Pelodiscus sinensis: one gene and its partners. The protein of the gene in region 3 purifies or fractionates together with the protein of the main gene of each other region. This does not show direct contact. Links are inferred from orthologs where the notes say so. Each region holds a gene or a part of one and is shown on either strand. Other genes may lie near its edges.

Evidence for each region.
Region 1: the proteins of MYCBP (region 3) and ARFGEF1 purify together in Homo sapiens (co-immunoprecipitation; 4 studies listed by BioGRID and IntAct, with this or other methods). This does not show direct contact. The link is inferred for Pelodiscus sinensis from reciprocal best matches to the Homo sapiens genes MYCBP and ARFGEF1.
Region 2: the proteins of MYCBP (region 3) and ARFGEF2 purify together in Homo sapiens (co-immunoprecipitation; 4 studies listed by BioGRID and IntAct, with this or other methods). This does not show direct contact. The link is inferred for Pelodiscus sinensis from reciprocal best matches to the Homo sapiens genes MYCBP and ARFGEF2.
Region 4: the proteins of MYCBP (region 3) and OTUD4 purify together in Homo sapiens (co-immunoprecipitation; 3 studies listed by BioGRID and IntAct, with this or other methods). This does not show direct contact. The link is inferred for Pelodiscus sinensis from reciprocal best matches to the Homo sapiens genes MYCBP and OTUD4.

Annotation. Positions count from the first base shown.
Region 1 is NC_134712.1:57,511,367-57,518,623, reverse strand, and holds the start of ARFGEF1 (brefeldin A-inhibited guanine nucleotide-exchange protein 1), read right to left. Parts: upstream 3,004-7,257; 5' UTR 2,680-3,003; coding exon 2,556-2,679; intron 1-2,555. UniProt on the Homo sapiens protein: Promotes guanine-nucleotide exchange on ARF1 and ARF3. Promotes the activation of ARF1/ARF3 through replacement of GDP with GTP. Involved in vesicular trafficking.
Region 2 is NC_134728.1:20,680,879-20,688,081, forward strand, and holds the start of ARFGEF2 (brefeldin A-inhibited guanine nucleotide-exchange protein 2), read right to left. Parts: upstream 3,002-7,203; 5' UTR 2,811-3,001; coding exon 2,672-2,810; intron 1-2,671. UniProt on the Homo sapiens protein: Promotes guanine-nucleotide exchange on ARF1 and ARF3 and to a lower extent on ARF5 and ARF6. Promotes the activation of ARF1/ARF5/ARF6 through replacement of GDP with GTP. Involved in the regulation of Golgi vesicular transport.
Region 3 is NC_134735.1:11,659,768-11,667,046, forward strand, and holds the start of MYCBP (C-Myc-binding protein), read right to left. Parts: upstream 3,011-7,279; 5' UTR 2,790-3,010; coding exon 2,775-2,789; intron 2,678-2,774; coding exon 2,605-2,677; intron 1-2,604. UniProt on the Homo sapiens protein: May control the transcriptional activity of MYC. Stimulates the activation of E box-dependent transcription by MYC.
Region 4 is NC_134715.1:41,054,041-41,061,656, forward strand, and holds the start of OTUD4 (OTU domain-containing protein 4), read left to right. Parts: upstream 1-4,613; 5' UTR 4,614-4,790; intron 4,791-4,809; exon of another isoform or gene 4,810-6,276; intron 6,277-6,562; 5' UTR 6,563-6,889; coding exon 6,890-7,054; intron 7,055-7,616.

The DNA of each region.
Region 1 (7,257 bases), on a different chromosome or scaffold from region 3:
TGAGGGGGGGGTCGCGATATCACAAGTTTGAGAACCCCTACATTAACCTATAGGCTTTTGCTTATCAGTTAATTGACTACACTATTACATGCCTATTCCAGACCACAGATGTTGCCAGGCCAGAGAGTCCTGGATCACAGAGGTTCAACCTATATGGAGGCAGTATAAACCAACAAGGGAATAGATTAGAAGTCAGAGCATTTCTATCGACCACATTGTCACGGATGTAATGTGGGTGAGACATCTCACCTCCATGCCTAGGTTTCCCCATCTGTGAAATGGGGAAAACAGTATTTCTCTTCCTTTGTAAAGCATTTAGATATCTATGGATGTGAACTGCTACTCAAGAGTTAAATATCAGTGTTATAAATAGCAGATGAGACCATACAAATGTTGAGTCCCCAAACAATTACCCATTAAGGTTTTTATTGCACCAGTCTAAACATTTTTTACAGTAAAAACAATAATGCATTAATTTATTCAATTGTCCTAGTCACAAGATCCATGAATTCATGTTTTATATATTAGCTAATATATAAATCTTGTATTGCCCTTATCTATTTCACACTCATGTCCTTTACCATCTTCAGACCATGCATGTCTTGTCCTTATTTAGATGCCAGTCTTGGAATTAGAGCCAGAGTTGAAGGTTTCAGCAAAGCTCAACATAGACACAGAAATCCATGGGGCTCATTGAGAGTGTGGGTCTGCCAGCACAGATCAATCTGCATGATCGGGACATTAGACAGCAAGATCTTTAGAACAAGGACTGTTTATGTTTTTATAGCACCTAACACAATGGGAATAAGATCCTGATAGTAGCATCTGGATGCTCCAGGGATACAAATAAATAATTCAATTTCTGAAATAACGTGTAATCTCATGAGCTTTCCTACTGTATAATTAATTTCACATAAAATAGTCCAGATATAATGTCAGTTATTTAAACAGCATGTTTAATATCTAGTTGAGCTTTTTTTTTTTTTTTTTTTTTTTTAAGAGGGCAAATGCATAATCTATGTTGTAAGTCAAACGGACTCACTTTTTTTTAAAACTGAAAAATTAGAAACTATAGCTGAAAGATTAGAGATTAAATACTTTATTCAGTTTGTTTACTTTGTCTGATAGGACTATGTGAATAGTTAGTTTATCTACATTGAGTTTTCTCTATTGGTCAGGATAGATCACAAAGGAGACATATTTTATTTAAAAAAGGGAAAATGTGATTTTAAAGCCACAAAAGTAGCAGGTGTATTACATTAATATATTTGTAATTCAATTTTAATAATACATTTCAGATTAATTATGTCCTTTAAATAAATCTACTTTAACATATTACAGCTCACCAACAAAAATTAATAATGAAAACCATGTCTACAACACTGTCAGTATTGCCAATTTAAGGATAAAAATGATTACATCCAAACAAACCAAAGGTAGATTTTCTTCCAAATAAATAATACAAATATCTTTATGAATGTGCAGACATTTCTAAGTCCACAGATTGGGACCTACCCTATGCTATCATGATGTTTCAAACAAAATGCATTTTTTCATACTACCCAACTGGCTTTTCTTCTCAATATCACTTCATCTAAGCTCTATACACTCAGCTGTGTCACAAACCTAACTCTTCTTTCATCATGAACATAAACAACCACACTATACACTCAACTGCCAGAAAACTAACACCTTGCTAATTGAGACTCGAGCAACATGAACCCACAATGTATCTCCCTTCACTGTGCCTGCATTAACTCACAATACATGAAAGAAACCCCTTTTCCTAGTAGCTATTTTTCCTCTCCATACATATGCTCTATTGAGGGTCTCTTTAAATAGCTATCGATCCAATCTCCTCGTCCTCATTCTTCCTCCCTACAAAACAGCTTCCCAATTCTGAGAATAGACATCAATTTTAGACGGGGCCTGAGCGTCATTGTCTCTTGTTTTCCATCACCCCCATTTCTTTCTCGTCCCCTCCCCCTTTATCACTGCTTGTCACCTGCTCCCTCCCCGGCGGCCTTGTTCTTCCAGGTCAGCTCAACACACACACACACACACACCTTCTTCTCTGCCTATTCATCCTGGGCGTGTGGGGCGGTGAAAACCCGCCAAGCAACCGACTGCACCTTTCCGCTCGCTGTCAAAAAGGAACAACTACGCAACCTCTCTCTCTCCGAGATTCAAACCCACCCGTACCTGCTCGCAGTGTGATAATCAGCAGCTTGGGGACCCCCCGTCTCTTTTCCCGACCCACCGCTACACAAACACCAGCACGGCCACAGCTTCTGCTTGATCACAAAGGCCTGTATCATGCTGCCGTTCAATCACCAGTCCTAGCTAACCCTTCTCCTGCCCCTCCGATCCCTCCACCAGCTTCCTTCCTCTGCCCCTCACTCCTGGGCACCCCCAGATCACTCCCCGTAGCTTTCCCAGATCAACGCACTGGCCCCACCGCCGCCATGTCTCCCCCCTCACCCGGCGTAGAGAAATAAATTGAGGGGGGAGGGCGCACCTGCTACCCCAGCCCCCGCTCCCTCCCCGGCTCTCACCTAGGGCCACCTCGCAGGCTTTGCGCAGCTGGGAGTGATGCGCCTTCTTCACCTCCTTGTCGGCCAGGATCTTCTCCAGGGCCCGGGTCAGGAACATGTTCTTCGTCTTCTTGCCTTCATACATGGGCGCGATCGCGGGGACCGACCGCTCCCGCCGGGGGGAGGCGGCGGGGACCGGGCCACGGGGGCACTCGGGCGGCTGCAGGTCCGGGGCTGCGGCCGCCCGGCCGCTGGGGGCAGGGAGGGGAGAAAGCGGGGCAGGTCGCCGCGCCGAGAGCGAGGCCCCCGGCGACGGGCCCGGCCTGGGCGCTGCAGCCCCGCTCGGCAGGTCGCTCGGACCGCGGCGCTCTCAGCCCCGGACCCGCCCGCCCGGACCAGCCTCCATTAGCGGCGGCGACAGCAACCTGCGCTCGCCATGTTGGAAGGAAACGACGTCAGGGCCGCGGCCGAAGGGCTGCAGAGGAGGAAGCGGCGGCAGCGCGATGCCCCAGCCCGGCAGAAAGGCGGAGGGAGGGCGCGGGCCGAGTCGCGGCGCTACGGAGGCTCAGCAGGGACTCGCCTCCTGGGCGCGCTGCGCGCTACAGGTGCGGGGAGAGGGGAACGGGCTGGGGAGAGCAAGGCGCTGCCACCTGGGCGCTACTTCAGCAAAGGGAGCGGCAGCACTGCCCCCTCCGGGCGCCGAGCCAGCCAGCCTGCCTCAGGCAGCGCCCCCCGTCACTGCGGGAGAGACTCCCTCTGGCAAAGCTGCTTCCCCCCCCCCCCCAAACTTTCACCCCGACTACAGCCATAGTTTCCCTCAGGGAGCCTGCCCAGGTCTCGCACTGCCTGGGGGGATGAACTCTTTTGGACAGACCTGCTTGCCCTGCTGAGTGTTCTCTCATGGCACAGTGCAGTCTTTTGCATTCATGCTGTCCCAGCCTCTCAGCCCTCCACTTTCTAACTCAATTTGTTCATGATTCTAATGAGGACTGAGGAGCACCCCCAGGAGTTTTCTTATTAAATAGTATTGCTGTGTGCTTCTAAATAAAGTGTCTTTTTGCCAAAGACCTCAGAGCATTTACACGGTCTTTCTGAACAGTTTTTTCTTTGCTATTGATGCCAAGAAAACCAACACCTTAGTCATCTAGAGCAAAATGAACATCCCCACAATGTAGCTTCCTTCACCATGACTGCATTAACTCAACAATACATGAAAGAAACCCTCTTTCTCCTTAAAGTTATTTTGCAAGGGCCATCAATGTTAACGCCTCTTTTCTCTTTAGTGTACGGTGAGATACGAAAAAAAAAACCTAAACTAAAAAAAACCTCCTGTGATTAAAAGGCACTTTTTGTGTTTTAATTTTTGTCTATGTTTATCATAGACCTCATTCCCTTAGGTTAGGAATGGTATTTTCTTCATATTCTGTAGAGAATCATGCATAAGTTGAGTTCTCAACAAATGCTATGTAACAATAAATAACAGTAAGCTCAAATTTTGCTCAGAATTAGAACATAGGTATCTAATTGTAGGATTTAACTTGTAAGTAAGGCCAGATCTACATTAGATGAGAATTTTGCTGGCATAGGTATTCCAGCATATAATACCTGCAAAGTACTTCTAGAATGGATGCAGTTTATAGCAGCAAAAGTGCACTTTTGCTGGTATAATTCCCCCCGTACACCCCTCTTCCTTCCCCCCAGACAAATAAAATATATGGGCAAAAGCACACTTTGCTAATATAACTATGCCTGTGCTAGAGGCTTTTGCTGGCACAGCTACATCAATCACAAATCACATCTACAACTATCATAGCTATGTCACCTGCCACTGAAATGTATCTAAATTTGGGATAGACCATAGCAGCTGTTTCAGTAGCCTACAGAAACATTATATTACAGTACAGGGCATGAAACAAATGAAAATATTGTATCTAATTGAAGGCACAAGGGAAATATAGGTAAGTGGAATGTGATTTAATATATTGGAGAGTGAGCAAGATAATTAAAATGGCTAACACCCTTACTGTACCAAAAACACCGTAGGATCTTTAATGATCTCATGCAGTTAAGATTGGGTTTACACCTCATCCAAAAGAATGTACTTATAGCAGCACAGTGCCCTATAAAAGTATTTTGTGGTGTTAGTTAATTATACTTTTTTCTGACTTTGTGTTCACTGAAAAGCCTTTTGCTTACACAGACAATATGGATACTCCATATGCCAGTCACAGGTTCATTCACTGTAGATATCAAAGTGTCTTTGGCTTTTCAAGCCTAACAGTGGTGACCAATTGGCAAAACTAAGAAATCCTGCAGGTGCCTTACTGTTTGTTTTTCAAAAATTGCCTCAACACAAATCTCCTTAGAAAGCCATAAATGGATGACAAAGTGGTATTTAGAAAAGAGAGTTTTCTATTGATTAGCGCAGTCCATTTGGCACAAACAGTCTATTATTTTCTTGAAATTACTATGCTCTGGGACACCTTTTGTGTTGTTCATGTTAATGTGTGGGCAACAACTTTGTTTGGTACAATGACATTTCTGTAACAAAAGCCTTATTTTGCAGCATACATGCATATGGTCTATGTCACAGTCTGCACTATGAAAACTGAGTATGGAGAATATTCCGTTGTTGTTTTCTACATGTGACAATTAAATCAAGTTGGTACCAGAGTCCAGAGCTGGGGTGTCCCCACAAGACCTTCTAGTTACAACTACCTTGGAAATACCGTAAATGTTGGTAATGCACAGTCTTCCATGCATGCAGAGCTCCAGTAGCCATTGCCCATTGTTCATTTTTCCCACTCCATTGTAACCAGTGCTTAGTGGCCATGTCTCATGAGCTGATCTGACTCTTGTTTTCAAGTCTTCCAGTAAACAGAGTTTCTCATCCAGTGGCGTCTTACTGATGATGCTGTTGAATTGCTGATAGAACAAATTCTTCTCTTCAGATCTGGGGGAAAGAGTTGGGTCATGTGTATTGATGATGTTGGCAGTCACCTGTGATATATATTCTTAGTGCTATAATAATTTCAGATAGTCCAATGAGACATTCAATCAATGGTGCTAAAATCCCCAAATCACCCTCAGTACATGGCATTGTTGTTTGCTTTTTCCCATGCAAGAAGACAATGCAATACACCTTGTATAGAGAGCCTGTGTCACCTACTCTGATTTAGAGACAGTGGTTATGCTGATATCATGATTCCCCAGCTCTCTGTCAATAATGGCAGTCCGCTTAGGATCACTGACCTTCTCCAGGTCATTTGATATATCAGTACACATACCAGTACATGTGAAAAGGGTGACCATTGTACCTGAACCTTTGATGCATATACATAGGCATAAAAAATAAGGATGCAGAGACGTACTTTGAACCAAAGCCCCTCTCTTGACAGTACTGACTGTCCATAAGCTTGATGATCAAGATATTTGGAAGTCAACACAGCTATAGGAGATTCTGACATTTTCTCCACAACAGATTTGGTTCAGGGTTTTCTCCCCTAGTCTTTGGTCAACCAAGAACCAGCAGCAAGACAGCAGTGCCAGATGGAATTATTCCTTTGTGGGGGTGGAGGGAGGCTTCATTCCAATGGGTATCACCCAGTTTAGTTGCTGAGTACTCAATCCCTGGCAGGATATACTAGGTTATGTGGTCGCCTTAGCAGGCCTTACGTATCTGAACAGACAGATGTAGTGTGTGTTGCACAGAGTGAAGAAGAGCTCCAGGAATTTTGCAACAAGGCTTTGCATTAACTTGTGATGCATGTGGACTAATCATCAGTCTAAAGATGTTAATTGTTATGGTACAAGATGTATTGACTCCACTTAGGTTTTAATATCTAGCATAATGCTAGACGCTGTGCACAAGCGCTGCCATATGGGATCATCTGTATGAGATAACTTATCTCTAGATGACAAACTTAATTCTGTGGGACAACAGAAAACTAGCATTGAACACAAACATCTAAATTTACCAGACATGAATTTTGAGCATGCTGCTATATGGTGTGGACCACTGACAGCAGGCACAAGAAAAAGCTAAACACCTTTCACGTGTTCTGTTTTTCCTGTATTCTAAATATCACGTGAGAAAATAAAGTTCCTGAAACCGAAGGGCCTGAGAAAACAAAATTCCCAAGTCGAATTCTCAAACTATTCTCAAACATAAATGTCTCCATTTATTTGGTCATCTGTGACTGATGGATGATGGACACATTCCAAAGGTTCTCTTGTACAGAGAACTTGCGACTGGGTCGACGTAGGCTCAGGTTCAAAGCTGTTTGAAAAAGGGACTTGAAACTTTTAACATTTACAATGCACGCTGGGAAGAAGCCACTACCAACAGGTTACACTTGAGCACTACTCATGCAGTTAAAGAGAGGTGGTTGAGAGACTGGAAAGCAGAAAAAAAGAAGAGAAAATTGAAGCAGACCTAACATGCTAGTAAGTACACTGGCTTCATCCTCAGGTCTTCATACCTTATGCCAGTAGTATCACTGCAAGGACTTTTTTGGGTTGAGAATTGAACATTTAAGCCACTTGCAATGCTGCAGCATGATACATAGTAACTGAATTGCTTTGATGTTTACATCACCATCTTACAAGACAAGACAGATGGTTGCCATTAAAACTATGAAGAAAAAAAGGCAACTGTATATAACTGTCACATGTGCATCAGTTATCCATTTTGCATGTGTAAATGTGTATTTCCATACACAAA
Region 2 (7,203 bases), on a different chromosome or scaffold from region 3:
TCAAATAAGAAATTTTGAAAAGAGACAGTTGACAACTGCAGGATGCTAGTTAACAACACAAAGTTTACTTTATGTCACTGTGATTTTCTTTCAGTAGGTGGACTCTGCTGGCAAATCATTAATTTTAAAAAGCACTACATGTGTTGGTCAATATCAAAGAGACAACATGATTAGAGGGGTATTTAAGATTTGAGTGACCTAAGAAAACAGGTGACATTAATGAAAAAAAATAATTCTCCAGCCTTATTCTCCCTTAGCAGTCTTACTTCAATTCTCCAAACTACAACAGTTGTATTACACTGGGGAGTGTGGGAATATTTCATATGATATATAAAATAATTTAACAAATATATCATGTAAGATTCATTAATTACAGATAATACAAATAACTCCAAAAGAGTTTGGCTTATATGAAGTAACATTGAGGAAGTGAAATATTAATACCTGGATGCATAAATAGAAGAAAATGTAATCAAGATGGCTGCTTAATGAGTTATTTGGCAATGCTCTCCAAACTTAATTGCAGCAATCAAGGTTCTAGAGGAGTAGGGATCGCTGGGCAAGATATTATTGTCTGCCCATGCCCAACTTTGTCTCTGACTCAGATTTAGAAACACAACCAAAAACATGAAAAGTCAGCTTTATGCTAGCCACCACCTCCAGTTTTCCCCAAAGACAGTCTATGTGCAACACCACAAGAAATTATTTCAAAATTCATTTATATCACTCTTTTTATGGTTTGAATAGCCCACAGAAATTTTATTAATAGCTCTATTGTCTTTGACTATATCAAAAGCAGCAGTATGGAGGGGGCACGCAGCTACCCAGGAGCCAATGTGTGGGGGAGCTGGCTTAAAAGCAGCTCCTGCTTGGTCCTTCCCCCCCCCCCCACGCTACTGCCTGACACAGAGGCAGCAGGAAGGCCATGCATGGAACCATTAAGGTTAACCAACGAGTCCAGACTCATCAGTTAACTGTTTAATTGCGTATACGAACACATTCCTAATTTGTACAGCACCCAGCACAATAAAGCCCAAATCCTCACAGGGGTTTCTGGGTCTGGCATTTCTAAGGCAATATGCATAATACTATCCTCACAAAACAGAAACTGTAAACTTAAAAAAAAGTCCTGATTCCTCATCCCATCTCCCAAGCTAACGTCATGTCATATCAATTAACACCACAATATTTCTGTAAGGCAGAGCTGGGGTGGAGTACTTCTTTTTACACAGGCTACCTAACAGCATTTTATGTCTAGTTTGCTTAATTATTTTCTCTGAATAAGTCCTCTTTCCCACTTTATGTATTTCATATGGTGCTAAGGAAAATGCACTTAAAACCAAGCCAGAACAAAGAGCAACACTTTGTTTTACAGTTTTTGTGGCTTTACAAGTACTCCAAGGTAAGTATAGGACCTGAAATTTGATTTTAAAAAATTCAAGCTGATGTTATCCCAGTGGGGAACCTTTTTTAGTGTCAGGGACCGCTGACCTACAGAAAAAAAAAATCAGTCGGAGCCCACACAGACGTGAGAAGCCCCTCAAACCCCCCCCTCCCCCCCAAAACCTACAGGCTAGTAAACTGTGCTCCAGCTCTACTGACAGAGGACGGGGTGAGGCTGGAGCACCGACACATGATTTTTGTGTTGTTTGCATTATTTAAAGCAGGGGTGAGGAACCTAAACAGGGGTGGGAAAGCTACTGAAACCTTTGAACATAAGAACTGGACTGGTTCATCTAATACCACTCCTTCTGCTCAAACACTAGTTTTCATTATCCTATGCACTGTAACTTTCCCAAAAATCCATTACTTTAGCTGATATATTAAAAGAAGCAGTTATAGTTGCAAGTTACTTTTGCACTGTCAATGAAAATTTCAGAGTGCCATGTTAGTGTGTTTCAGTAAAAACCAGTATTTAAGACACAATGTACATACTTGAAAAGCTAGTTGTTTTTAGCTAAAATTTTCTTTGAAGAAAAAAAGATGCTAAAGAATCATCAGCTTGAGCTGCTCTTAAAGTTGATAGTTCTTTAACAGTCCCTCCTGGTTTCCAGTTGTATTGCCCCTTAGCTAGTTTAAAAATAATCCACAGCCTTTACATTAACAACAGAATTGACCATGTTCTTTTTTTCCTGAGTTTAAAATAAGGCCTCTTTTTCCTCCTCGCTCAAAAAAATGTGTGTGTCCAGGAAATAACAGAGTGCCTGTGAGCCAGGAAGATCTAGTGTCAGGCAGGCTGTTTGCTCACAGACCAAAGAGGCTCCAACGTGGCAGATTAACCTGCAGAACAGTAAAACTAATGACAGTCGCAGTCGCTGATAATGCTGCTGCCCATTGGCAGAGACGGGCTGCACGCTGATTGCATGACTCCCTGCAGCCGGGCGAGCTGGGGGAAGTGGTGAACTCCCAGTCCCGGCAGGGTTCGCCCAGCCACACCTGCCTGGCTCTCCCTGCAGGGAAACACAAAGGGAATGGGCACCTTTTGGGTGGCCCTGATCCGGACTCACTTGGCGCCAGCTGTCTGGGTCCCCGCAACACGGGAGGGGACTGGCCCCCCCAGAGAATACAGGGGGCCTGAGCCGATCTGGACTCATCCCCCGCTACCTATCGAGCTCCTCGCAGCTAGTCCCTGCGGCGCGGAGGCTACCCACGAAAGGGAGGGGGGACTCACCCAGCGCCACCTGACAGGCTCTCCGCAGCTGGCCGTACGGGGGCCGCTTCGCCTCCTTCTCCGCTAGGATCTTCTCCAGGGCCCGGGAGACGAACATGCTCTTGGTGCGGGTGTCCTGTTCCCGGGCCGGGGGCTGCATGGCCGAAGGCCCCGGCGGGGGGAAGGGAGAACGGGGCTCAGAGGCTCCGCCCGCGTCGGGGCCCCATGATATGGAAGAGGCGCGACTCCCTCAGCAGCGGCAATAGAGACAGGGACACGGCGCCGCCATATTGGGGCCGTCACGTGACTCCTCCAACTCTTCCCTCCTCCCCCTCCCCCCGCGCCTTCCGGCGTGACCTCTGACCCACAAAGCTGCCAATAGTGACAGCAGCGGGGGGCGGGGTTGGGAGAGTGGGTGTGGCCTGGCAGAGGGGCGTGGCCACGGTGTGTGGAGGCGGGGGCTGGGTTGATGATGAGATCACAACTAGGGGCCTACAGAGGAGGGAGGAAGAAGGCCCCCTGCCCCCTCAGTGCTTCAGCCCCTATTACAGCTGCACTTGCCAGGCCGCAGTCGCTGGCCACTAGCTAGCAAGGATGCTAGCCGCATACGGCTGCCTGGGCTTAAGCGTGGGCTAGAATGGCGTGCACGTGCAAGGTGCTCAGAGGGCTTGTGCTTGCGTTGCTAGCTGTCGTGTACACTACTATAGTGTGTGCTAGTTTATTTATACACATGTAGCTCCCAACCTCTGTGATTTTCACCTCACTCATGCGACAAAGTGGTTTTTATTCACGAAAGCTTATGCCCAAATAAATCTGCTAATCTCTAAGGTGCCACAGAACTTGCTTTTTTCACACTACTATACTTATCCTTGCCCTCTCGTATGGGAATGCCTAACCTGTGTTACGGTGGCACCCGTTCTTGTGGTGTAGACATACACTTAGGCTATGTCTACACTGGCGTGATCTTGTGCCAGAAATATGCAAATGAGGCTGAGTGGAATATCGCCATGCCTCATTTGCATATCTAATGAGCTGCCATTTTGTGGAAGAGGCTCTTGCACAAGAAGTAGCGTCTACACTGCCCCTTCTTGCGCAAGAAAAACCCTCTTGCGCAATGCCGTTACACTAATTATTTTCAGGAATAATGGCATTGTGCAAGAGGGTTTTTCTTGCGCAAGAAGGGGCAGTGTAGACGCTCCTTCTTGTGCAAGAGCCTCTTCTGCAAAAATGGTGGCTCATTAGATATGCAAATGAGGCTCACTGATATTCCATGCTTAGCCTCATTTGCATATTTTTGGTGCAAGATCGCGCCAGTGTAGACATAGCCATAGTCAGGAGGCACCAGTGTGGCATTGTCTCTATGAAGAGGTTCATGTCACTGTGACAGGAAGTGATTCTGCAGGCCATGCCTCAACATCAAGTTTGCTTGGTGACATATGACAAGCCAACATCACTATTTCTTGGGATAGTGGTGAGCAACCTGCAGCTCACAGGCCACATGTAGCTGATTGGGGTTCTATATGTGTCCTACAAGACATTTTGTTTACTGTTGCCCACGTGTAGGGCTGCCATATTCTGCTGGTTTCCATCCGCATTGTTTTTTTCCTACTGCTGGTAGTAGAGACACACACATAAAGCGAGGTGTGTGCTGATGGCATACAACATTGACTGTAAGATGTTGTAAAGTGCATCCTCTCTGCATCCCATCAAAGCAAAGCTATGGCTCAGTTGGCAGACTCTGCAAATTCTAGGTATGAAAGCATAATGCTCACAGGCAGAATCAAACCTGGGATCGCTACAGCTAAGTTCATAAGCCTTTACCACATGAGCTCAAAGCCTGCTAGTACTCAACTAAGGCTGTAGAGCAATCTCATTATTTTCTCTATAAGTGGTCTCAGTGCCACTAGATGGGATACTACAGCGTTTCTCAATCAGTTCTATGAGTACCTGTAGGGGTACTCCAGATAAGGCTGGGGGGTACGTCAATACAACTGAAATTTGGAGCATTTGAAACATTCAAATCTGAATGTTGAGTTGCATTATGCCAGTGTTTCTCAAAGATTGGTACAAATATTCTTAGGGGTACTTGAGAGAAGTCTGGGGGAAACATCAACAACTGAAACTTGGAGAAAACAGAATTTTTGTTTTAAGTTTTACAGCGCTTTATTATTTTTGTACTTTTTACACCCAAAAATTTCATCGCCAGCCTGGCTACAATTAAGTTGTTTAAACAAATGTGTTGCAATGGTAGAAAAAAAATAGCGTGTCTGAAAACTGTACATACTGGGGGTACTTATAATTTTTTTAAAAGGGGTACTTTATAAAAAAAAGATTGAGAAACACTGGGACCACTACACCACCACGAGTAGATGTGTGGGTTACACAAGCACAGTCAGCAAAACTACCCTAGGCTGGGAAACCATCTTGGTTATGACAATCTTGTGGTGCACAGAGATGAAGGAGATCCATAAGAATATAAGAATGGTCATACTTCGTCAAAGCAAAGGTTCAGGTAACCCAGCATCCTGTTTTCTAGCAGTGACTAATGCCTAGTGCCCCAGAGAAAATGAACAGAAGTGCTCTCTCCTGTCATCTATTCCCAGCTTCTGACAACAGAGGGTAGTGCACCATTCATGCACATCCTGGCTAATAGCAATTGATGGACCTATCCTCCATGAATTTATCTAATCCTGTTCTAGTCTTGCATTTTACAACATCTTCTGGCAAGAAGTTCCACAGGTTGACTATGTGTTGTGTGAAGAAGAAACTTCCTTTTGGTTTGTTTTAAACCTACTATCTGTAGTTACCTAGGATACTAGGTTGCCCATTGCTAGTGCCCTCACAGAATACTCCTCCTTCTGACAGGGCTGAATCTCACAAATCAGATCAGAAGGTATGTGGGTAGCAGAGTATCATTGATTAGCTCTGTGAGCTGATGAACATTTGAGAACATTGTATTGAAGTGTCATCACATCAAATATGAAGCACATTCATTGCTATATTATATTGCAATGTGATTAGTTTGGTTGGAAATAGGTATTTTATATTAAAAATAAAAAAGTTCATTTGTCAGCAATTTGTTTTTATCTGTCTGAATCAAAATGAAAAAAAAATTGATTAAAAATATGAGTTTCTCTTCAACTGAAAAAATTCATTTCAGTTTTGAGTTTAGAATCCTAGAAAAGTAGGGCTGAAAGAAAATTCAAGAGATCATTGAGTTCCAGTCTGAATCTTTTTTTTCTGAATCCCTGCCCCTTCTCCCCCCGCCCTCCACAGGTTACCAAAACTCCATTGAGTAAAACAAAAGTTGCACATATATTGAATTAATCTCATAATCAAGAACCCCATCCAACATTCCAAAAAAAGCATTATCCCAGTCCCACCATTCACTGCTCCTTATCAGATATTTCCCCCCAAAACATTCCTGAATTACATTATCTTCTTGGCTGTCCAGCTGTTGCTTGTCCTCTGGGATAATAATATTTAAGTAAAAGGGAAGAGGATTTTGAAGCTGCATTCATTAATAATGCTCAAAACGCTTTGAGATCTTTGGAGGAAAGATATTAAAATAATGTGAAGTTTTGTTTTTATTTTAATCAAAGGTCTGTACACAGAAAACCGGTGCAACTCCCCTCTATTGAGAGATGTTATACAATTCTACCAAGAAGGCCAGCTGAAGCCACAGATAACAAACAAATGTTCGGTCACAGGTTAAGGTAATGAAGAAGAGAAGTGATTTCTCACACAAAGAAAATTAAATTCTCATTTTAAAAGACCTTAGTCCCTGGACTGAAAGCAGGAGAAAGGAAATGGATTAAAGAAAACTGTTTTTTATTAGCAAGCAAGGGCTGACATTACAGTTTTGGAGCAACCAAGTTGTAGATCATATGCACAGAAAACCCCACCTGCTCTAAAACATTAGATCAGCATCAAGTTTTCAGGAAAAAGTCCAGAAGGATAGCTATCAAAATGACTAAGACTAAGCATGCTGAGATAGAGAAGCAGCCTTCACTGCATCACCTTTGTCTCCAACCCAATGCACTACACTATAAGATAATTATTTGGGTACATTAAAGGTGCTTCCAGTGGAAACTAGGGCTGTCAAGCAATTAAAATATTTCGTCACGATTAATTGCATGCACCTCCCCTTTGAAACACCATAGTGGTATTTCAACGGGGCAGTGCTGAATGGAGCCCGAGATCAGCTGGAGTCTCCAGCTGATCCTGGACTCCAGGCAGCGCTGCCTCTTGGAAGCTCCGTGGCAGCGTGAATCTCTGCATGAATCTCAGGAGGGTGTGGAGCTTCAGCCCCCTTGCCCTTCCTAAATGGGACCTAGGGGGGAGTAGGGGCGGTTCTGGGGGTTGGGGCAGTCCCAGACAAGTGGGGGAATGCACCTCCAGCCAGACCCTTTAACTTGCCTGCCTGCAGCTTGGCAGGAAGCCCTGAGAGCGGGTCATGCCTCCTCCTGAAGCCAAGTGTTCCAGCTCTCCAGCTCTTTCTTACTGGAGCAGTGCACTGGGGGCTCACCAGAGTACTATCACCTCTGGGTTCA
Region 3 (7,279 bases):
ACACCTTTTCCTCCTCACCCCCTTGCCAGTATATTTTTTAGCAGGCTGGCCAGCAGCCCGGCTCAGTCCTGGCTTGCAACATGTCCAGGCCCTACCAACTGAGGTGGCTCTGCATTTAAAGTGTATTTGTACGCAGACAGGCAGCCAAGATCAGTTCCAGCTTGCGCTGGGTCCAAGATCTCAGAGACAGCAGCACAGGGTGATGGGCAGCCGATCCACGAGGGGAGATGATTTTTAAACTGGCTCCCCCCACAGACCAGTTCCTGCCTGGCACCCCACAGAGGCAGCAGCAGCACTCCTTGGGAGTCTAGTCGGATTGCACTAGCTGCTAGCATCACCTCTATGAACTATAGAATAGTTGACTAATAAATAAGAATTCATGAAGTTACTCAACTATTCAATTAACCAATATTTAACATCCCTAAACCAAAGCCAGGGTCTCCTTTAATGAGTTTGGAAACTCAGTATTCTTCTCCATCACCAGGCCACCTTTACACTAAGGAGGAGGAAGGAGGAGTTGGAGGTGGAAACAAATTCCACAACCTGCTGCTTTGCTTCTAGAGTTGAAGCAAGAATCCTAAATAGTGTCTCAGGATCGTAGCTTGCACTTACAGTACAACATTTGGCTTCATCACGTTGTGCTCATCTCCAGGTGCACTCAGTATTACATTGAATATGATACTCAACTTGTACTTTGAACCAAAGACAGCCATGTGGCACAAACTTTGAAATATTCATTTTTTACTGCTTTGTGGACTGAATCCTCAAGTAGGGGTATGACTTTTGGTGGAGGCTATAGCTGCTTCCCTCCTCCCCCTCCACTTGCTCCATTCAACCAGTTAACCAAATGTGATTTTACATCCCTATCCTCAAGTGAACTTGAGCCAGCATTATGTTATGTTCTCCAGTGGATTAATTCATTCTTCGATTTCTGGATTTAGATGAAGCCAAAATGAATATGGCTTGTGTGTAATTTATAGGCTGAGGAAGTGAATATTCATATAATTACAAGACTAAAAATACAGAGAAATATTTAATTGCCTCTAATTCTTTGTATATTGTTTGACTTCCTTAGATTGTAAGCTATACCTGTGAAGAAATTTTAAGATTTTCTATGTTTAGCCCAATGTCATCCCAATCCATATATGGGGATTTGGGTACTTCCACAACAGTTTATAGCCAGAGCTGATAGTTAAGACCTATACGTAAGGTTGCTTAATAACTTCCATTAAGACCCTGCTTGTAGTTCATTTTCCAGTTTGCCCATTTGGACTGAAATTTTATATACATGCCCATGCCTCATGTTGAAGTTTTTTTGAAAGTTGTACCCAACAGTTCAGCTGTTTCCAAGAACGAAATTAAGGCAAAAATTTTGTTTTGCCCATGCTAAAAATTCTTACACCTATTTGATTAAGAAGCTATATTGCCTCTGCACTTAGCAGTACGGATGGCCTTGCTGTTAAGAGGTATGCCTTTTGCAATCCCTACTACAACCCTGCCCAAATTATAGAGATTCAAGAAATTGCTCAGGAGAAGGAGTTATGCTTTGTTGGCTAAATTTTTCCAAATTCAATGTGCTCTAAGCCTGCTCCATCTCTGAGTTGAAGACGGATCAGGACTTTCCTTGCAATTTCTCCTCTTAATTGCTGGGTGCCACAAGCAGTGCTGAGCACAGGAATCAAGAGCAAAGAAACTCTTCTGTGCTCTCAACTCTGCCCTGCTACATCCAGGCAACACAAAACTGATATGACTGAACGCTATACATACATTAGAGGAATAAACAGGACTTCTGCCTCGTTGGGGAATCAAACAGAACTTTGCAGTGAATGAGCTGTTCTGTACAAGAACCCTGCCTCCTTTGATATAGAGTAGCGATGGGCAACCTAGTGAATGGGCCGACTTGAGCATCCCTCCATCTCAGTGGACCACAAGATTGTCATAAGCAGCAAGGTGGTCTCCTGGGATAGGGTAGTGGTAACTAACAGTTTGCTAACTGTACTTGTGTACCAAGAATTCGTGGGGTGCACCAACTGAACAACATCAGCACTTTGCCTGGATGCATAGGGAGAGCAGGGCTCGCTCAGTCAGTGTTGTGTGCAGTCAGCAGGCACCTCACTCCGGGTACCTTTGCTGGAGGTGCATGGTGCTTCAGTAATAGTAGGAGGACTACTCCACAGATGGAAGCCAGGGGAACGCCACACAAGCACGACAAGAGGTCTCGTGGGCCACCCACAGAACCCAGACAGGCGACAGGCTCCCCACCCCTGTTGCAGCGGCCCAACAGCGTGCAGCAAGTCAGGCACAAGACTACAGGAAGAAGAAGGGAGTAAGTCTCAGGGTGCAGGATCTCCCGGAAGAACCGAATCGGATCCCTGCTTCTGCTGGGCGAGTCACTTGAGCCCCAACTCCCCGGGGGGGTTGGACCCGATGACCCCCCCCCCGCGAGTCTAGGGGCCCCCTAAGGGCGTGGCGGCGGGTCAGAGCTGTGGAAGCGGGGCGAGCCCTCGGCTACAGGGGGCGGGGCAGAGAAGGGCCCCGGGGGAGCGGACGGCGGGGGGGGGGGGGGAGCGCGAGGCCCCTGAGAAGGCGGCGCGGGCCCGTTACCTTTGGTGAGCGTGTCCAGCACGCCGGACTTCTCCAGGTAGCGGCGGAACTGCTCCCGCTTGGAGTCCGCGGCCTGCGGAAAGGAGGGGACAGCGTTAGCGGGGAGCAGCCAGCGGGGACACCCCGCCCCCGGCTCCCGCGGAGCCCGAAGAGCAGCCGCTGCCCCGCACCTTAAAGTGCGCCATCCCGGCCGAGACGCCGCCGCCGCTGCGCTAAGCGCGCATGCGCCCCGGGGGTTTTATGGGGGCGGGGAAGGCACGCCGCGTCCCATCTGTTCCTAGGGAGACGGGTGACGCTAGCACGCGGCCCCGCCCCGCCCCCAGCTTCTGTTCCGCGGCCTTGGCCCTCTCCGCCAGCTGTGTCTGCCGCCCGTTTGGCCGCTCGACCCGGCCCCTCCTCTCGCCTTCCCTCAGCCCCGCCCACCGCCTGGCCGCTCAGCCCGGCCCCTCCTCCCGCCTTCCCTCAGCTCCGCCCCCTGCCTGGCCGCTCAGCCCGGCCCCTCCTCCCGCCTTCCCTCAGCTCCGCCCAGCCTCTCAGCCTGGTCCCTCCTCCCGCCTTCCCGCAGCTCCGCCCCCTGCCCGGCTGCTCAGCCCGGCCCCTCCTCTCGCCTTCCCTCAGCTCCGCCCAGCCTCTCAGCCTGGTCCCTCCTCCCGCCTTCCCTCAGCTCCGCCCCCTGCCCGGCCGCTCAGCCCGGCCCCTCCTCCCGCCTTCCCTCAGCTCCGCCCAGCCTCTCAGTCTGGTCCCTCCTCCCGCCTTCCCGCAGCTCCGCCCCCTGCCTGGCCGCTCAGCCCGGCCCCTCCTCCCGCCTTCCCTCAGCTCCGCCCCCTGCCTGGCCGCTCAGCCCGGCCCCTCCTCCCGCCTTCCCTCTGGCCGCGCCCAGCCTCTCAGCCTGGTCCCTCCTCCCGCCTTCCCGCAGCTCCGCCCCCTGCCTGGCCGCTCAGCCCGGCCCCTCCTCCCGCCTTCCCGCAGCTCCGCCCCCTGCCTGGCCGCTCAGCCTGCCCCTCCTCCCGCCTTCCCTCTGGCCGCGCCCAGCCTCTCAGCCTGGTCCCTCCTCCCGCCTTCCCTCAGCTCCGCCCCCTGCCTGGCCGCTCAGCCTGCCCCTCCTCCCGCCTTCCCTCTGGCCCCGCCCAGCCTCTCAGCCCGGTCCCTCTTTCTACCTTCCCGCAGCTCCGCCCCACGCTTGGTCGCTCAGCCCGGCTTCCCTCTGGCCCCGCCCCCCGCCTGGCCCCTCTTTCTTTCCTCCCTCCCTCCCGGTGCCTCTCCCGCCTTCCCTCTGACCCCGCCCCCCGGCTGGTCCCTCAGCCCAGTCTAAATAATTGTTGGGGGGAGCCACAGCTGTGTGTCTCATTGATAAGGGGGGGGCGAACTCTATGAGCTTTCTCTGGCGACCTCTAGACTGGTATGATTTTCTGCAAATGCTTTTAACGGAAAAGTTTTCTGTTAAAAGTATTTTCGGAACAGAGCGTCTAGATTGGCAGGACGCTTTTCCGCAAAAGCACTTTTTGCGGACAAGCGTCCGTGGCCAATCTAGACGCGGTTTTGCGCAAGAAAGCCCCGATCGCCATTTTCGCCATTGGGGCTTTTTTGCGCAAAACAATACCACGTTGTCTACACTGTAGCAGCATAGCATTTCCGCAAGAAGCACTGATTTCAGACAGTAGGAAGTCAGTGTTCTTGTGGAAATTCAAGCGGCCAGTGTAGACAGCTAAATTTAAGCATGAATGACAATTCTGAAGCTTCTCTTTGAAGTCTGGAGTTAAAGTCTCTTTGAAGCAATATGCATGTTTTAAGGTCATTGAGGGAATGGTCAGTCTGGCTGAAATGGCAAGCAACAGCTTTCTCTTTGTGAGAAAGTCTTATGTCTGTTTTGTGTGCATTGATTCTTTGGCGAAGTGTCTGAGAAGTTTGTCCAATGAACATAGCAGATGGACACTTTAGGCACATGATGGCATAAATTATATTTCTGGATGAACAGGAATATGTATTCTTGATCTTGATCTTGTAATAGGCATGGTTAGAAGTAAGACAGATTGATTTGGGATGTGGATCCATGCGGGGCTGTGCTGGGTGCTGACGAGTCTGTGTTGTTCTCCAAGGGGGGCTGTTACCCAACTCTGTGCCTTTGCTGCTGGGGAGGAGGGGGAGGAACGGAGCTTCTGTCCCAGTAGGACAGGGTGGTGGGGCGCCCCAGAGGGCAGGTGGATGGGTTCAGTGGTACAATCAGCCCATCCTGTGAGTTTAGAGAGAATCTCTGATCCAAACCATAACAATCATCCCTATTGTACCATTTGGGAAATGAGGCACAGACAAATTAAGTGCCTTGAACAGGTCACACAGGAAATTGGTAGCTGAACAGGGGATTGGGTTCTCTCAATACCCTGACAACTGGCCCATTCTTCCGCTGTCCATGTCTGTGAGTGGGGTCTGCTGAACACAGTATTATCACCCCCAAAGGTAGCAGGTATCCCCTCATTTGCATAGGACTTAATGCTGCTTGCAGAGTGGTTATGTATAGGCACTGGGAACATGTGCTGTCAGAGAGTCGGTATGTTCAAAATAGCAGCAAAGTGGCTCTAACACTCTCCAGAACTTGGGGTCCTCATCCTGCCTCCATACCTCAGTCACCATAAGCCCCCAAGCTCCTTCCTTTTGAGAGGAAAGTTTGCAGAAAATTCTGTATAGTCAAATGCCTTTCTCTTCCTCAACTCCAAGCCCCAATGCCCCTTCTGCAGCTATTTTTATAGAAAGTTATGTTTTGGTTATAAATATTTAGTTAAAAATATAAATAACCAAAACATAAACTTTTCAAAGTTGAGAAGCACCCATCCATTAACTGCTTTTGGGAGCCTGCCTTAGCCCCACTGCACCACAGAACAGGAGCTGTGGGAGGTAAGCACTGGAGCCTTCACCCTGAACCTGCTGCTCTCTAACTCTCCCACAGCTCAAACTCCTATCCCAGCTCCAAGCCTGCTCATGAAGTCCACAACCCAACCCCCTACCCCCAGTCCTGAGCCCATTCCCATACCCAATCTCCCTCCTAGTGCCTGTACCCCACACTCCCTCTTGCACCCTCAATCCCTGCCCATCCCAGTTAAAGTGAGTGAGGGTGCAGGAGTGCCACCAACAGAGGCTGGGAATGGGACCTCAGAGAAGCGGAGGGGTAGGGCAAGGGCATTTGGTTTGTGCAGTTAGAAAGTTGGCAATCCTCGCATCTGAACTAGATAACTGTTCTCCATTCCTTCCAAACATACGTTTCTATAATCTTAAAGGCCTGATCAAAAGCCCATTGAGGGCAATGGAAAAGCTTTCATTGATTTCAATATGCTTTGGATCAGGTCTCACATATGGTTTCACATAGGGTGAAAAAAAAAAGTTCAACTTAATTATTTTGTATTACAAGACTTAAATGGAATGCTTTCCTCCTCTATAAAAGAAATTATTCCCTCATCCTCTATAAAAGAAATCATTCCCTCACAAACACAAAAGTAGATGAATTTTGACACCTGGCATGTAAATAATGTTCACTTTGATATCATAACCAGGTTTGCAGAATAATATGACTGAAATATTTCCACCACTATGGGGAATAAGTTTCAGCTGAGAGCATCATGCAAGGGGACCAAAGAATTATGCACACTCAAATACCTTTCAAAAAATAGTGCCTTACCTTCCATGTTTCCATTTGTAAAATGGGATAATTATACTTATCTCCTTGGTAAAGTGCTTCATGGCATACTGATGAAAAGCACTATATGACTACATCTACACTGCACCATAGTTAGAAAAAAGATGTTCAATTTGAGCTACGCAAATTGCGTCTCTTATTTCAATCTTATTTTGAAATAGCTTATTTCGTAATTTAGCACTGTCTGCATAGCACCAAATTTCAAAATAATCCGCTATTCCGAAATGTCCATTACTCCTCGTGGAATGAGTTTTACAGGGACTTCAGAATAGCGAGCCCAAAATAATGGGCTTGCTGTGAAGATGCGGGATAGTTATTTCGGAATACTCCAGTATCCTGAAATAGCGTTGCAATGTAGATGCAGCCTATAAGATCTAGGAATCATTAGCAGGGATGTAAAAATAACAAACCCATTGTTTGTATAGTTGTGTCTTACAAAAGATTCTGTTGCCTTCTGCCATATTGTGCAAATTCTTAAGTTTTAATTTTAGCTAAATTTCATGTTTGTTTTTCCTTTTCAAAGATACTGTGTGCAGTCATTACTATGTGAGTCATACATTCTCCCGAAAGAAGCAGCAGGCTGTAAACTCTTTGACAGACTTCTGCACAATTCAGTGAATTGAGATGAGAGCTTCAAACCCCAATTGGGACTATTTAAAAAGTAACATTATGGCTACTAATGTATTATTTATACAGCGCAAAAAGGAGTGCACTAAGCATAGTTATTTTTTTCTTTAAAAACACATTATTGCAAATTTAAGTATACCCAATTAAAATTTTAAATCAGAAAATGAAAAAGTTAAGATTACTACATGACTGTTAACTCAAACATATTGCCCTTTTTGTCTTTAATAAGGTAGTCATTTAGCAATATCAACACAATAATATACAAATATGTATTTACCTCAGATGCTAAAGTGATAGGTACCAAAGAAAAAAAACTAAGATTTAACAAGGTAGTCAAGAATGGTTAAAACTTCAGCATGTACA
Region 4 (7,616 bases), on a different chromosome or scaffold from region 3:
TATATTCCTAACTATCATACTTTGAATCCTATTCCCCAACATTTAAGGCATGAACAGTAGCATATCATTAAAACAGGTTCTGTGTTCCAGGGAACAGAAAACTGTACAGAGTAAGAGCCATTAAGTGCCCCCCTAGTTTGGGAACCTATGATCTAGACCTTTATACTTATGGTTTCCTATCAACAAGTATTGGCTGCATTCCTCCCAGCAAATTGTCTAAAGTTACTGCTATGCTCTTTTACCCTCATCTCACACTTTAATATGGTAAGTGCTCTTTTTGTAACATGTACAAGGCTCTAATGCCATCTAAAGGATCATGTGTTGAACTTCAAAAATACAGTGCATTTAAAGACTATCTGAACCATGTGAGCCTAGGGAAGAATATACATCTGCAACCTGCCTACCTGGAACTAGAGATTTGTACTAGTTCTGTGATGGAGAACAGGATAAATGCCAGAAGACTTGAGTCTGGGTGTCAAAGGGATGAAAAGTACATTTCTTATTAGCCAATATTATCTCATTCTGACACATGGTTACCCTAGAGCTTTATCAGCAACCTGAAATTTCTCCACCCTCATTTTAAAGGTATTAGTGAATTTTACTGCATTCATACTTAATTCAACCACGTCTGCATCAGCACTTTCTGCTGCCCATTTAAATAATTAAAAGGAAATAATGCTTATGGTCTGTATAGCTGTCATAGAAAAACGTGTATGTGCTCTAAATTTAGAGGAAATACTTAGAACACAGATATGGGTACTTATGTGCAGTCCTGTCATAGACTTCCTGCATGAGTATGGACAAAATGAATATATTTCCCTCAGTTTCCCCGTCTGTAAAATAAGGATAACAATTCCTAGCTGCCTCCTAAAAATAGTCTAATCCTTAGTTATATATAGTTTGCAGAATGCTTTGAAAGCCTCAAAAGAAAGGCACTTTAGAAGTGCCTAAATCATTTGCCTTATGTCTCACTAAAAGGACAGAAGTATAAACGCTTTTTTATATTTATTTGAATCTTGTTCAATTATATTACAATTCAAACAAATATTCTACAGTGGCATTAGACACAAATGATTACATATATTTGAATCGATGTTTGTGCCTAAGCAGAAAGTCTCCTTTAATAATCTGCCTTCCTGAGACTATGCAGTCATGGAATAAAGCAACTTTTTTCTCTTTGTTCTCTATATTACCACAATTGTCCTTCGGTAATTTCCCCACTCTGTAAAGTAGGTCCCTGTCCACAAACTGGTAGGTTGAGGAAGAAACACTCTTCCTTTGACCTCAACACTAACTACTACCAGATTTTTCAGCTTCTGTTTCTTAGCACAATATTGAAAAATAACCTTCTATCTTGTGATCGTACATATAATAATAATGCCAACTGATTTGAGCTGGATTTTTCTTTCTGAACAGAATTTTTTTTTCTCCTCATAATTAAGGTACTGTATTTTGCTGAAGACAGCCTCCCTTCTCTCCTGTCATTTTCCTTGGTTTCAGTGTAGCCAGGACACAATGAAACATTCCAAACTCTAGAGGTGGCTCATCAGATTCTCATGGTGGTTTCCCTTTTGCAGTACCCCATAAACTTCCCTTCTTTGGACTCTGTATTGGCAATATCTCCTAAGAAACCTTTGTGTCATCTTCAATTTCATTAGCACATTCCCACTTTTTGTGCCATGGTCAATAATAAAAATGTTAAATAAGACTGGTCCCACAATTGATTCTTCAGGATCTCCACTAGTAACCTCTCTCCAACCTGACATAACTTAAGCATTACCATTAAGAACTCCCCTTTCTTACAGATATTCTTATACCCAACTTTACAACATAGTCTATATCACCAGTATGTATCCACAACAACCTAGTCATTAGTTCATTCATTTCATCTCACTTGGACGGTGGCAACTGCTTTCCTCATTGCCTTCATAATCATACCCCCTTCTGCTACATGTTAATAATGTCTTTTCTGATTGTATTTGTATAAACCCGTGATTCTCAAAGTGGTCCGTGAATCCACTCTGAGAAAGCTGCCAATGGAATGCCCCAGTTTGTTTATTTACTGGTGCCGCAGCCACGGAATCTTGCAGCTCCCATTGGCTCCAGTTTGCAGACAAAGGTTAGCCGCGGGAAGTGTTGTGGCCTGAGCCGCTGTTTCATATGCCCCAGTTAAAACCAAAATAATTGAATGTTGGTGTCTGAGTTTTAATGTATTGGGGATTTTGAAGGATTAAATAGCCACAGACGTGCATATTGAAGTTATTTGCTCTTCTTCTCTGAGAAATAATGGCTTATGACTAGTGGTAAATAGTTACTGATTTTATTTCAGGAATACAGTATATGTTCTTTCCTTTTTTATTAGCTAATAAAAGATCAGCTAAGGAAAAATCAGAGGAAGTGAGATGACCAAGCGGCAGAACTGCCAAATTTTAGATGTGGAACAGGCACAAAAGTTCAGATCTATACTCAGTTTGGACTAAGGATGTTAAATATCGGTTAATTTACTAGTCGATAGGCAGTGCCACATTCCTCCGTTGAAATGTACAAAAACCCTGCTAAGGCTCTTGTACAGCTCAAAGGAGGAATGTGGAATCCACTGTACAGCCCGGGGCCATCAAGAAGTCCTGCTGTCTCCGGGCTGCACGCGGGCATGCCAGTTTTGAAATGTACAAGAGTCCCCAGTGGGGGCTCTTGTGCATTTTAAAGCGGAAGTTCCCACATGGAGCCTGGGGCCAGTGGGGTAATCAAGAGTCCCCCGCTGACCTTGGGTTCCATGTTGAACTGCCAATTTGATATGCCACACAGAGCTTGGGGTCAGGTGCCACTTTGAAATGCTGAGGCATTTAAACAAACAAGCTTTAGTGCATGAGGCTTATATTGGTCTAATTCTGTCAGTTTAGCCAGTGAAACGTGCCCATATAATAGAGGTCTATAAAATCATGAGTGGTATGGAAAAAGTGAATAAGGAAAAAATATTTACTTATTCCCACAATACAAGAACTAGGAATCACCAAATGAAATTAGTAGGCAGCAGGTTTAAAACAAACAAAAGGAAATTTTTCTTCACTCAGTGCATAGTAAACCTGTGGAACTCCTTGCCAGAGGACGTGGTGAAGACCAGGACTTTAACAGGGTTCAAAAAAGAACTGAATAAATTCAAGGATGTTAGGTCCATCAATGGCTATTAGCAGGGCTCGCCAGCTGCGCTGTCCGGCATTCTGTGCATGCGCAGATCGCCCAAACCTGGCTCTTCATCGATTGTCGAGCCCTGGCTATTAGCCAGAATGGGTAGAAATGGTGTCCCTATCTCTGTTTGTCAGAGGCTGGAAATGAATCACTTGATTGTCTGTTCTCTTCACTCCCTCTGAGGCATCTGGCATTCGCCACTGTTGGCAGGCAGGATACTGGGCTAGATGGACCTTTGGTCTGACCCAGTATGCCCATTCTTATGTTCTTTATAAACGGTTCAAATGGTTCTAATATACTTTAATTGCAAAACTACACTGAATTTCATCTGCAGTTGCTTTGCCACTAAAACAAAACACAAACAAAAATGTGGCATCTAATGACACTTGTAGATCATTACATTCTGATTGTAGGTTATATCCCTTCCCACAATTCTTTATCTTCAGCAGAAACTCTTTCTGTATATTTGTATTGTGCCTAAACAAAGTAGCTCTGATCTCAGCTGAAGTGTTTAGGTACTACTGTAAGTAACAAATAATAATAAATAATGTTGTTCCATCCCTCCGGAGAGATTCACACTCTTCCTCTAGACTTAACTGTTTTCTTGCTACTTTTCACTAATGGCTTGTTACAAAGGAAAGTCATACCATAAGTGAATTAAAACATAGGCAGGCTTGGAAGAATTAGATTTGTGTTGGTATAAACATGACTTCCACTCTGGGCACATCAACAAAATATATTTCTCTAAGTATGAAAATGTACAAGTAGGCAAAGGAAAAGAACTGTTGCTCGAGAACTTGATTTACTTAGTATATTTTGCCATGTGATTTTGACAGTTTGTGCTTCAATATTTTACAGTTTTTAGTCTTTGAATCTCAGCATCTACTATCATTAATTACTGTGGGACCACCGGGAGAAGGGATGCTAATTTTCTTTTAAAAGTGCTTAAATTGCCAAAATTATAAAAAATAACAATCAAACTCTCCCAAGCCTACATACAAAGACAACAGAATAAAACCCCAGGCGGACTCCCGGTTTCTGGTGGAAGAGCTAGTTTCTAGCCTAGTCTAGTCTGTGTTGTTTCGTAAGGAATTTAAACAAACAAGCTTTAGTGCATGAGGCTTATATTGGTCTAATTCTGTCAGTTTAGCCAGTGAAACGTGCCCATGTAAACAGCAGCAGGACGATAGCCCCACGCCAGCGACTAATCCTGCCCTGAAAGCCAGGGCAGCTACCGCACTGGAGCGCCTCAGACAGACCCCTGAGACCAGCTGCACGCTCCGGACTGTACCATTTAGCTGCTTCCGTGGGGGGTGCATGTGAGACACCCCTTTCCTGACGCGTGTATGGGAACAACTCGATTTGCCACCGCGCCCGTAGAGCACAAAAAATATCTCCCCTCTCCTCGCGCATGGTGCAAGCCACGGCTCCTCGCACGGGTGTGGCCGGTGGAACAAACCAACAGCAAGCGACGGGGGTGGCGGCAGCATCATAGGAAGGCGACGCGGGAGATTGAAGTGCCTGCGCCGCCGCTGGCCAGGGGCCCTCGCGAGGTGAGGAGGAGGAAGGGAGAGTCCGAGCCTGCTGCGCCCGCCCCTCTCTCGGTAAGTGCCAGTCACTGCGCAGGGGCAATTCAGGGGGAGGGCGCTGGAGTCAGCGCCTCGCCCGCCGGCTCCCCGCAGCTGGGCCGCCCCCCGCTCGCAGGCGGGTCGTGCTGGGTGAGCGCGGCCAGAGCCCCGCAGTGACACACACGCTACCCCCCCGGGCCCAGGCCCAACATCGCTGCCTTGCCCGGCCCTCGCCGCCGCGCTAAGGGCGCGCCCGGCCTCAGCCCCTGGAAATCGTTGCGGGCGGCCAGAGGCCCAGCACGGAGCTGCGTTTGGGGGGGAGCGGAGGCTGAAGCGGGTGGCTTTTGCCCGGTCTGACAATAAATCTGGAGCGTGTGTGTGTTTGTGTCTTTTTTTTGGGGGGGGGGGGAGTTCACGGCGTTTCAGCAGGCGCTGTGTTCCCCGCCCTCCTGTGTGTGCGCTTTACTTGGGCGATCCAGCGTTAAGTTCGCGCTGTGTTCCAGCTGCGGGGCGGCGGGGCTGCTTACCGCGCGTATTGGCCTTGGTGCCTAGTTTCTGATGGACTAAAAAAGGAAATAAGTGAACTTTGCTTGCAAGGGAAACTGGTGTGAGTGTCCCGCTCAGTGTATCTACCTAGCACAACTGATGTACGTCTCGCCTCGCTTGTGACTCCCCCCCCTCCTCCTGTCTGTCGGCTCTCCTCCCCCATAACTCTTCTCACAGTAGTTACTGGTCTCCCAATCACTTCACTGTGGTTGTCTGGGATTTGCCTTTCCTTAAAGCAACACTGAAATGTCTGGCTAAAAACACTTCAGCGGAAAGATAAAAAGGACACCAGTTCCTGGAAGAATGCTAAATGAAAAGTGAGACGCTGCCAAGAAACGTTATGGGGTGAGGAGGGGTTGTATTTGCTAGGTCTCCAAGCAGTTTAAAGTTTGAGCTAGCAATAAAAGCAAAAATGCAACGTGCCTTATGGTAAAGGACGAACTGTTTTTTCCACTGCTTTTTGAGAGCACCATACGTGGACTGGCTGTAATCATGGGCATTACAGGTTAACTAGTTCTACACTGCTTACTGGATAACTGTACCACCTTGAACAAGCTGTAGAACCGGAAAGTGACCTTTTCAGTTGTCTTGCTTCTGATCTGAAGGCGGTTTAAAAACAACTTGTGAAATGCCCCATGAAAAGTAAGCCATTCAGTTTAGCGGAGGAACTGTAGCCTGCTTGTATGGCGACAACGCCAGAACTAATGATTGCATTTCTCATTGGCTCAATAATAATCGTGTCCATGGAAGTCCCAGCAGCGCTTTTGCTATAAAAGCCAAGACATGAACTAGTTAAGGCAAAAAGCCCGTGTGCTACAAAATGTAGGCGTTCCCTCTTATTTTGAGCTATAAAGCAGCACTAATGTAGGAGGAGCAACAAAAAGAATCGAAACCTGAACTGCACCATAAATTGGCAATTTGCTAGACCTGATACTGGAGTCCTAACCTGTTAAGTATTTAGAAAGGCGGCGGCAGTGTAAGTAGTTCGTTTTGAAACTTTAGTTCACTCACTGTCGTAAGCGTTTTGCCTCGGATAACGTGGAGACAGCACGGTATGTCAGGACTGTGTGCTCATGGTTCGTACAGAGCACGTCCCTTCTATCCTCTTCCTATAGGAGCCCCCACCGCTTCCTGTTTCTCTAGAACTACATCTCCCAGTAATATCTCTGGCATCGAGTTGAAAGTGAAAACAAACTTTAGGTTACCATTTCTTGGCAGTAGTAGCAGCACATGTCCTTTCTCTTCTGTTTTCCGCTTTACAGCTTGGGTGTGTACAAGAGAAGCCATCAATACTCATCGTCCTGAAGAAGGGGTCGGAGCCGGACCCCTCGGATTATTTTCCGAGAACAGCTGTCGGGCCCTCTTGAGAGGCCAGAAATCGACTCTTTTAAAGAGCTAATAATCCAAATTATGCAGTAAAAATCCGTCCATGAGTCTCACGTGAAATTTGACAACGTAAGGCCAGCTGGTGTTCCTGCTGCTGCCCCGATTGCTGAAGAAGGAAGTACATTTCATTCCCAAGAGCTGTTGTCGTAGCCATGTGGGGCTAGGAGAGGAGCAGTGATTCTTTACGGTATTAAGCAGTAAATATGGAGGCTGCCTGCAAATCAGATGGCGGGGAGCAGAGTCATCCTCGTAGCAGCGTGGAAGCGCCTGGGGACGCTTCTATGGACAGCTACCTGCGATCTCAGGGTTTATATAGAAAGCGGGTTGCCAAGGATGGATCCTGTCTTTTCAGGGCTGTAGCTGAGCAGGTAAGTAGTTTATTTAATTGAAGTAACCAGCAGTACTTGCACGTAAACGCTGGCGATAGCTGGGGGGTGGGGCGGAGGATGGATCTCATTAGTGAGTGTTAATAAGGATGAAAAACAAGGGAGTGAGGATTAAAAAAACGTTGTCTGTGTCAAGGGGAAAGCACCACATCTCAGGGAGGTTAGAGTCTGACATACTGGCATGTGTGCACACTCCTCGTGTTCCATCTAGGGACTTTAGGTTGAAGTTTTGAACTTCCCAGTCTCAGAAAAGGATTTTTTAGTGCAAAATTAGCACAAACTGGGAATAGTCACCTTGTATAAAAACCATCCAGGAAACAACTTTAAAGCCTTTCCCTGCTTTAGATTGTGAATGAGTTTGCTGAAGCTTTTGAGTAAGATAATGATATTCATGTCATGTCTCCCCCCCCCCCCCCCAACCTATTTTGAAAAAAGAAAAGTGTCTTAAGTACAAATAAACTGCTGTGGTAGGACTAATGCTTCAGATTCTGACCTAGGTCTCCTCACTTTGAGTGGTATTGTTACATTGATCACATTTCTCTTC